Linked DNA regions of Caenorhabditis elegans. The protein of the gene in region 2 purifies or fractionates together with the protein of the main gene of each other region. This does not show direct contact. Each region holds a gene or a part of one and is shown on either strand. Other genes may lie near its edges.

Evidence for each region.
Region 1: the proteins of mrps-9 (region 2) and glb-12 fractionate together in Caenorhabditis elegans (co-fractionation; one large-scale study listed by BioGRID). This does not show direct contact.

The regions. Positions count from the first base shown.
Region 1 is NC_003280.10:10,729,271-10,733,443, forward strand, and holds glb-12 (GLOBIN domain-containing protein), read right to left. Parts: upstream 2,383-4,173; 5' UTR 2,293-2,382; coding exon 2,254-2,292; intron 2,108-2,253; coding exon 1,841-2,107; intron 1,782-1,840; coding exon 1,696-1,781; intron 1,625-1,695; coding exon 1,525-1,624; intron 997-1,524; coding exon 769-996; intron 716-768; coding exon 635-715; 3' UTR 534-634; downstream 1-533.
Region 2 is NC_003281.10:8,264,357-8,268,351, reverse strand, and holds mrps-9 (Small ribosomal subunit protein uS9m), read right to left. Parts: upstream 2,291-3,995; coding exon 2,229-2,290; intron 2,178-2,228; coding exon 2,082-2,177; intron 2,037-2,081; coding exon 1,953-2,036; intron 1,906-1,952; coding exon 1,645-1,905; intron 1,599-1,644; coding exon 1,341-1,598; intron 1,181-1,340; coding exon 1,073-1,180; intron 1,029-1,072; coding exon 915-1,028; intron 864-914; coding exon 760-863; intron 713-759; coding exon 621-712; 3' UTR 511-620; downstream 1-510. Other genes in the region: F09G8.7 (uncharacterized protein), read left to right, coding at 1-99, 205-405; ncr-2 (NPC intracellular cholesterol transporter 1 homolog 2), read right to left, coding at 2,664-2,945, 2,992-3,105, 3,154-3,248, 3,376-3,594, 3,919-3,995.

The sequences.
Region 1 (4,173 bases), on a different chromosome or scaffold from region 2:
TAAATAATTTGTTAGATTATATTTTCAACAAATTAATAAATATTTTGGTTAAAAAAAAACTTGTTCAGTATCGTGAATTGTGGTTGCTGGAGAGCAAACTAAGCAATATTCTATACTCTTTTTTAACATCGTTTGAAAAATTGGTGAAAAATGAAATTTGCATTTTCAAACTTGACGTCCTACTTACAGCACAAAAAACGCTTAGGTAACTATCATATCTTGGCAAAATAATTACGATTTTAAAATGTTGCCGACGGAAAAATGTATTTTGAATTTTTAGTGATTTGTTAGTTGACTTTTTTTGAATCCTCTTACCGAAATGGAATAGATCCTCAAGAGGATAAAACCTCATATACATAAACTCGAAAAATAATCGGCCTATAACGTAATTGGCTCTGACTTTCAATTCACATAAAAATGTATCTAAACCTAATTCAGCAATGCTATTTTGTCTCCAAAATTGCATGTCTTTGTGTGACGCAATAGCAAAAAAAGCTTAGCTCATTTTTGTGCATTAAATGTGCTACAAAATCAAAAAAAAATCATTTATTCAATAAATTTAATCAGTTTTATTTATCAGTGTTTTTTCAGTGTCAATATGTTTTATATGGTATATCACTATAAAAATATACTTTCAGAATGGATCTTCGAACATTTGCTCTTGAGCTTTTGGTTCATTTGAAACTGCCGTATTTTCAATCTCGCTTTGTTTTTCCTGAAAATGCCAATATCAAATTAACAAATGTATGATATCAACTAATAACATACCGCCACCCTCTTCTTCTTCCTTTCCGAAATCTCGATATGTTGATGTGGAGCCAAGGCTTTTGTTGTTTGTGCACTCTTCTGTTTTGCTCTTTCCAATTCAAATGAGTCAGTCATTTGACTAATTACTGTGTTTAAGAACTTCTTCCAGACGTCTGTGATTTGAGATGTGGTGTAGTTTTGAGCAAATCGCACTTTTTTGTTCTCTTTTCCTTCTGATGATGGAAGCTCCTAAAATCATATTTGTTGGGTGAAAAGGTTTTTTGTTTTACGAGGGGAGATTATGAACTTTTTTAGAAAAAAAAACCAATTTAATTTAAACAATCTTATTTCGAATAGGTATCTACAAGAATTTATAGGAAGAGGATCACAAAGAACTAAAAAATCCGATCTGAAGTAACATTTAAAAATACTTATTTGAAAATATTATTCTAATTTTTTGAAAAAACCCGCAACTATTTTGCCCAACTGGATCAAAAATTGCACCTTTTTTAAAAAGAAAAACAAACATTTTTTTGAAAACAGCTCAAGTAATTTCCTCGCTCACAAACATCCTAATCTACGTTCGGGAAAATTTTCAAAATGCTTCTCGACCGCAAAATTTCTTTTTCGAATTATATAGATTTTTTCAGAAATCAAGCTCAATTAATTCCTTTATTAGAAAATAATTTGATTGAGTTGTACTCCAAATAAACCTTCCAACAAATCAATTAGTTGAACTTTCAAACTAGCTTGACCTAACTGATCCCACAATCTCACCTGTTCACCCGTCAGAAATGGAATTAATCGCTCGATAAATACATTTATAACAATTTCGAAATAGTTCTTCTCCATCTGGTTCTGATTTTGTTCCAAGAAACTGAAAAATCATCAAATGGCATTGGACTATATAATCATACAAAGTGACGGCATTTGCACCTGCGCACTTACCCTTGTCTGACATGACTTCTTCCCGTTTTTCGTACCAATTGCCATGCACCCGTCAGATTTTCAGACGTGCCAAGCATTGACGTGAGCTGGAATAATAAATTTGAGTTCAAAAAATACTCTTAAAAATGTAGTTTAGACAGCTAACCTGCTCCATGAACTCATAGAATCTTAGAATATGCCCTCCGAATTTCGGCATTTTCAGCATCGCGGCTCGCGGAGCCCGATCCACGCCAAACACTTTCTTGAGGTCCGGTTCAATATCATTGACAATATCTAAGAATATAAGACCAACAATATCCTTCGGATCATCTAGCCTTTGCCAAGTTTCACGTAACAGAGTACGGTCTTTTTTATTGAGGGCTAAGTCAAATGGATTTTCAGATTCGTTTCCGACCCAAGATGCTCCGACTTGCTGGAAAATAATTTTTTAAAATGTTCTGTGCGTCTTTAAAGAGTACTGTAGTTCTCTATTCTTATGTACTGTTTTTTTGAAAAGAATGTAAAAAATCCAAAAATTTTTGAGAAATGTTCATCTTCCGAATCAAGCTCAAAACTCACGGTTTTTTTCTTTTTCGGTGCACATAATGTGGCACCCATTGAAAATATATAGATTTATAACGATACTTGTTTTATTAAAAATCTTAAGCACAACTTCTCATCACCTCAATCAGGAAATGTTCTGAAAATTTGAAATTGAAAGACTCTGAAAAAGGAGAAGGAGTGAGTAAACATGAAGAAGACAAATTGAATAAGCCTCAATTATGACGTGGCAATGGAATGATGATTGGATTTTTTGTGTGTTGAAGTAGTCATAAAACGGAAGACGGCTGATTTTTTATGGGATGACGGGGAACAGAGCAACATAAATTCGCGTTCACAAGGCTGAAAACTAATTTGAATTTTGGCTTAAATTGTGGAAATGGCCAGTTAGATCTTGGAAATCAAATAAATCCTAACTGAAAATTTAGCCATATTCATTGTGGAAAAAATTAGATTTTTTAGGGTTAATAATTTTGTTTTGAAAAGATCTCAAACTTTTCCTATGACCCAAAGCATAATAAAAAACTGTAGATTTTGAGAAATCTTTTAAATCTAATTTGCCTTGTTTAAAATGCTTCCAAGCAGTATAATTTTTGTGGGGACCTATTAAAATGAGCTTTTTTGAAAATCCTAATTTTCGATGAAACATTTAAAAAAATCGAAACTTTTCCTTGTCAGCTTAACACTTAAATTTGTCAAAATCTGAGACTAGACTTGAGTTTTCTCGGGGATCTTTTCCGAAAGAAAAGACGCATATCAAAAATCAGTGTTCTTCTTCCCAAAAACTTATAGAAAGTATGAATATAACCAAATGATTGCTTTAAAAAAGTGAGAAGAAGGCAGAAGAGGGAAAAATACGAAGAAGTGGGATAAACAAAGTGACAAAAAACTGCGAAATTATAGTAGAGAGTTCTGACAAGAAATAATAAGGGAAGAGAAGGAAGTAGGTGAACTATTGGTTTTTCGAATGTTAATGTTATAAATGTATTTATACGTAGGCTGTTTTATTACTTGTTAGAAGCTTGAACTCAAGATCCGGCGGGAAAAGTGTAACAGGTGCACGTAAAAGTTCAGTGGATCAAAGATTTCTGGAACGGGACAAAATTTGTGGAGTTTGAATTCAAGTTATTTTGGAACATAGTTTGCTGGTGGGGCAGATTTATAAACGGCAGTAGCAATTCATGGTCTACCGGCTTCCTAGTTTCTGGTTATTTTCTCAAATTTTTGATTTTTGCCCATTTAATTTTTTTAAACATTTTCACTTCAAATTTTGTTAAACCACGGTATTTTAAGTCCACAATTGAATTTTTAAAGAATTTATCAGAAATGTTGGTTAATCTCCAAAATCGTTCTCCGCTCTCAAAAACCAAAGTGGACGTTTGCCTCCAAAAAAATGGAGAAAAAATGAAATTGCGATTTTTGGGTTGAAATTTATATTTTTTAAAAGCTGAGAACATGTTATACACGAATACTATGTCCATTTTGACACCCAGAATATCTGAAAATATCTAAAAATTGAAGCATGAATATTTTCAGAAATTTCCAGTTAATTTGTAAAAATCGGAAATATTAAAACTGCAGATTTCATGAACAAAAATAGTCTGAAATTTGTATAGAAAACAATTCAATCTTTCAAATTCAAGCACCCGCATTGCAGAAAATAATCAATTCTCATGCTCAACTAGATAGTTTTGCTATAGTTTTTGATCAGAAATTTGATTGTTTTCACTTTGCTTGCCGCTCTCCAAATTCCAAAAGTTCTGACTTCCAAGAAAAATTGAAAAAGAAAAAAAAAGAGAAATATTTAATTTTCCAGGAATTTTTTTTGTTGATTTTTTGAAAACGAGAATTGAAACAAGTATGGAAGAAAAATAGGCATAATCTTACTTGAAACTCAAAAATTTTCCTCTAGGTTACACCTAATTAAAACCTGTTCCT
Region 2 (3,995 bases):
AGCAAATCAAACAAAAAGTCCAAGCCAAAGTACACATTGGAAAACCTTCAGCAGATTCCCGGAGTCCTCGCTTTCATGATTTGCAAAGGAAATACAATTGTAAGATTTTATAAAATAATTTCTAGAAAAAATACTTGTTGCTCAATTCTAAATATAAATTTACACATTTTTTTGGTAAGAAATTTTAATTAAAAAATTTTCCAGGCCCACAGCACTTTCCTCGAAGCGGAGAACCCTCGTCAAATTGCCTACAATGCAATGCGAATGGCAACTCGAACTCAAGGAACTGAACTCCGTGATCTAAAAGTGCACACGATCCAAGTTCAATACGACGACTTCCAAATTGAAATGTTCCAAATCGGCGGACACTTTTGCATCCTCAAGAAACGTGTAGATACTGATTAAAAACTTACTCACTTTACCTCCCCCCCCCCCCCCCCCAGTGCATTCCTTCCCTGAAAAGTAACCAAACCCATTTTTGAATTGATGTCTCGTTATGTATGCTTTTCTATTTTATAAATTTCATTTTTCAAAAGTCTAAAAAAACAATAAAAACAAGAATTCTAGTTGAAAACTTCCTACCAATTAACAAAAACAAAATTAAAGTGGGTATTCATAAATTAACGACGTTTCCAGATCCATTTAGCACGAGCACCCGGTTGATTCACCTTGCTTCTTTCGTTTTTCCGTGGGTCCAGTGTTAGAAGTCCAGCTGTAATTTAGGAATTTATAAGTTTTTTACAAAATAAATGTCCTTACATAATCTTAGTGGTTCGATAGCTTCTGGTTGCAAAGCGGCAACACAAAGTGCAGTTCCATGGCGAACAGCACGCGGTAGAGCACTCATTCCTCCACTTCGCATTCTGCAGAAAGTGATTATACTGTTGCAGAGTAACAAATTTTAATAGTCTCACAATGGCGCCTTGTTTGGTGCTTCTGGAAGAGTATTAGAAATACATGAAGTTGTCGCTGTTACATCAAATCGACCGAGAGACTGACTGACAATCATTGGTGCAAGAAGAATCTCTCTGAAATTATGTTATCAGAAAAATTCGATGTTCGCAAAATATACCTGGCTTGAAGATGCCTGAAATCGTGCAATTGGAGACCATCAATATCGAATTTTCCTTTTCCTGCGTCTGTGACCTTAACTGTAGCACGAGTATCTTTACATCGTGTTCTGAAAAAAAAACTGTTCAATTATTCAGTTTACAATTAGAGAAAATTTGTTTAATTAAAAATTACAAGTATTTTTAATGGCAAAACTAATTTTAAGGTTATCAAATCATTAGATTTTTGGCAAAAATTCTCTGCTGTCTTTTAAAAGAAGGACAACTCACGTCACTTCTGCATATCTTCTGTTGGTCACTGCACAAACATGCACTTCAGGAATCGCAGGACCGAACAATTTGGATCCAGTTGAAGCGGTCATTGGCTCTCTGAATTCCATCAAAAACTTTTGTTCAATAGCTGATCCTGGTAATGAAGCAAGATGCTCAAATGCAATGATGACTTGTCCGTACAATTCTTTTGAAAATTTTTCCGAGAGCTTTTTCTTCAATTTGTCAGCTGTAACCCATTGAGAACCGCTCAGATTTCTGAAAATTAATAAATGTTTCAGTAGAAAAAATGGTTACTAATTACGCTGGTTCCAAATCACTTCGATTTACCGATCGACTTCCAACATGTTCATCATAAAACTTCATAACAGAATGCGTTTTGACTCCAATATCCGACAAAAGCCCGTAAATTTTTGGACTTAATGTGAAAAATCGGGATCCTTCTGGTTTTCCTTCTTCGTCAAATGTGAATCTTTGGAATTTTGGAAGAATTTCATCTGGTGGTCTCATAACTGGACGAGCATTTGGGTCGGTTAATCCAGAAGGAAATAAATATAGGATTGCTCTGAAAATGCCAATTATGATAAATATGACAAAACACTGTTACAAAACCTGTCAATTGCCTCTTGATCGAGTTCATGAATGTCAAGACTCATCATTTTGGCAAGATGTCGACGTCCTGTCTCGAACTCTGCTCTTAAAATGCTTTATTAACGATTTTCACTTCAAAAATCGATAAACCTGTGTTTCTCCATCATCGCCACATGTTGTTGACTGTGTTTCAAATAAGTTTCCAGTGCTTTACCAATTTTTCGAACTGAAGTGTCGCTATCTGACCTGAAACACGATTATTTATTGAAAGAAATAAGAGAAACGAATGATACTTACGCAGACGCTGGCGAAGCAGAGCTCATTGCTCTACTTGAGCGGGCTAAGACTATTCTGAGCATCTGAAATCGGAATAAATAAATTAATAAATTAAAATACGTTTGAAAATAACGGAATTTAGTATTTATAAAGTAATTTATGCAAAATTGAGCTCGCATCTTGAAAATTTTTAGTGAAAGAGAAATTGTTTGTCAATGGAGCGCGAATGCATCACTCAGTTTTTCTTGCAATTTTTAGTGGCCACATTACATTCGTGTTAAACATATTATTTCGTATTGAGGAATTCCTTAAAAAAATGATCTTATAATAAAAAGCACACATAGAACACATTTTATTATAAATATGATTCAGAGGGATTCATACACATTGTAAACGAACATAGAGATCATTCTATACGGGAATGATTAGAAAATGTACAAAAGAGAATGAAAGGAATCAGACAGATGTTTCAGAAGTGCTGGAAGTACTTGATGTGGTCGATGGAGGAGTATCCTGCAGTTCTGCTTCATCGGTTGATTCTTCTTCACTGCTCACATTCTGATAGAAATCCGATCCGAAAATTGCCAAAAGTGTTGGCATGTAAACAACTCCATGAACTGCACAAACAAGACCAATTCCAACAAGTTGATTGCAGAAGTATGTGATGAGCACACGAGAATCAGCAAATGAAAGACATCCAGCGGTGATCATGATAGCAGGGAAGATTCCGGACAATGTCTAAATGTATTTGAATCTAGAATATGAAGACAATTGGTAAAGTTACCGTAGATCCATTACTGACAAGTGCAGCGAATGCTCTTTCTTCCCTTTTCGGTTTTTTTGAGTTATAGAATCCATGTAGCATTTGCCCAAAAAACTCAACAGCGATTCCAAGAGACTGAAAATCTTAAATTACCTATAGGTGTCTACCAAAATATGAATTTACCATTGCCATATTGATAACTGATACTACATTCACTGTGATTCCGAGTAGATACATCCATTCCATCAAGTGAAGATATGATGAGAGGAGTACAAATACTGAAAATGTCTAAATCAACTATCTTACACAACGTCATGTGCCCTACATATCCCTTCTTCCTTTATTAATAATCTATTTCACGTATCTAGACATTTGAAATTATATCAAAGTAACTGTAAAACTCACCAGTGACTAAACTTCCAGCCAAATTAACGCGTAAAAATAGGGAAATCGTGACGAAAGCAACAAAAAGAACCAGAACTACAAGAGTATATACAGTTGTGCTCAGAGTCAGATATTGTTCGTAATAAGGGAAGAAGGTACTGTACACGTAGACTTTCACACCAGGAATTTCCAGTTCACGTTCAATGTCGTCTGCTAGGTATTTCGCGAATCTCCAGGCATCTGAAAATGAATACTTTCAGAATTGTAAGTGGAAGCCTTTAATTTTTTGAAAAGAAATTGAAATCATTGTTGCATCATTGAAGCCCTATTATGGTTAAATACAAAGATTTGAAAAATTAAAAAAATTAGAACCTAAAAACTCATATAAGTGGCGAAAATGTATTTGAATCGAAATAAAAACATTGGTCATTTTGGCACACTCATATGGTATCATTAGTCAACTGGAGATATTCCAACTTTAAAGGCACACACACACTTTAGTTTTTCTACATGGGTCTCGCAACAATTTCTGTAAATTTGCATTTTGAGATTCTTAAAACATACCGTACAGCTGAATAGAGTCCGAGAGATTCAACTTTTTGAAAAATGTTGAAAAATAGGCAGATTGAATTTTTCCATTT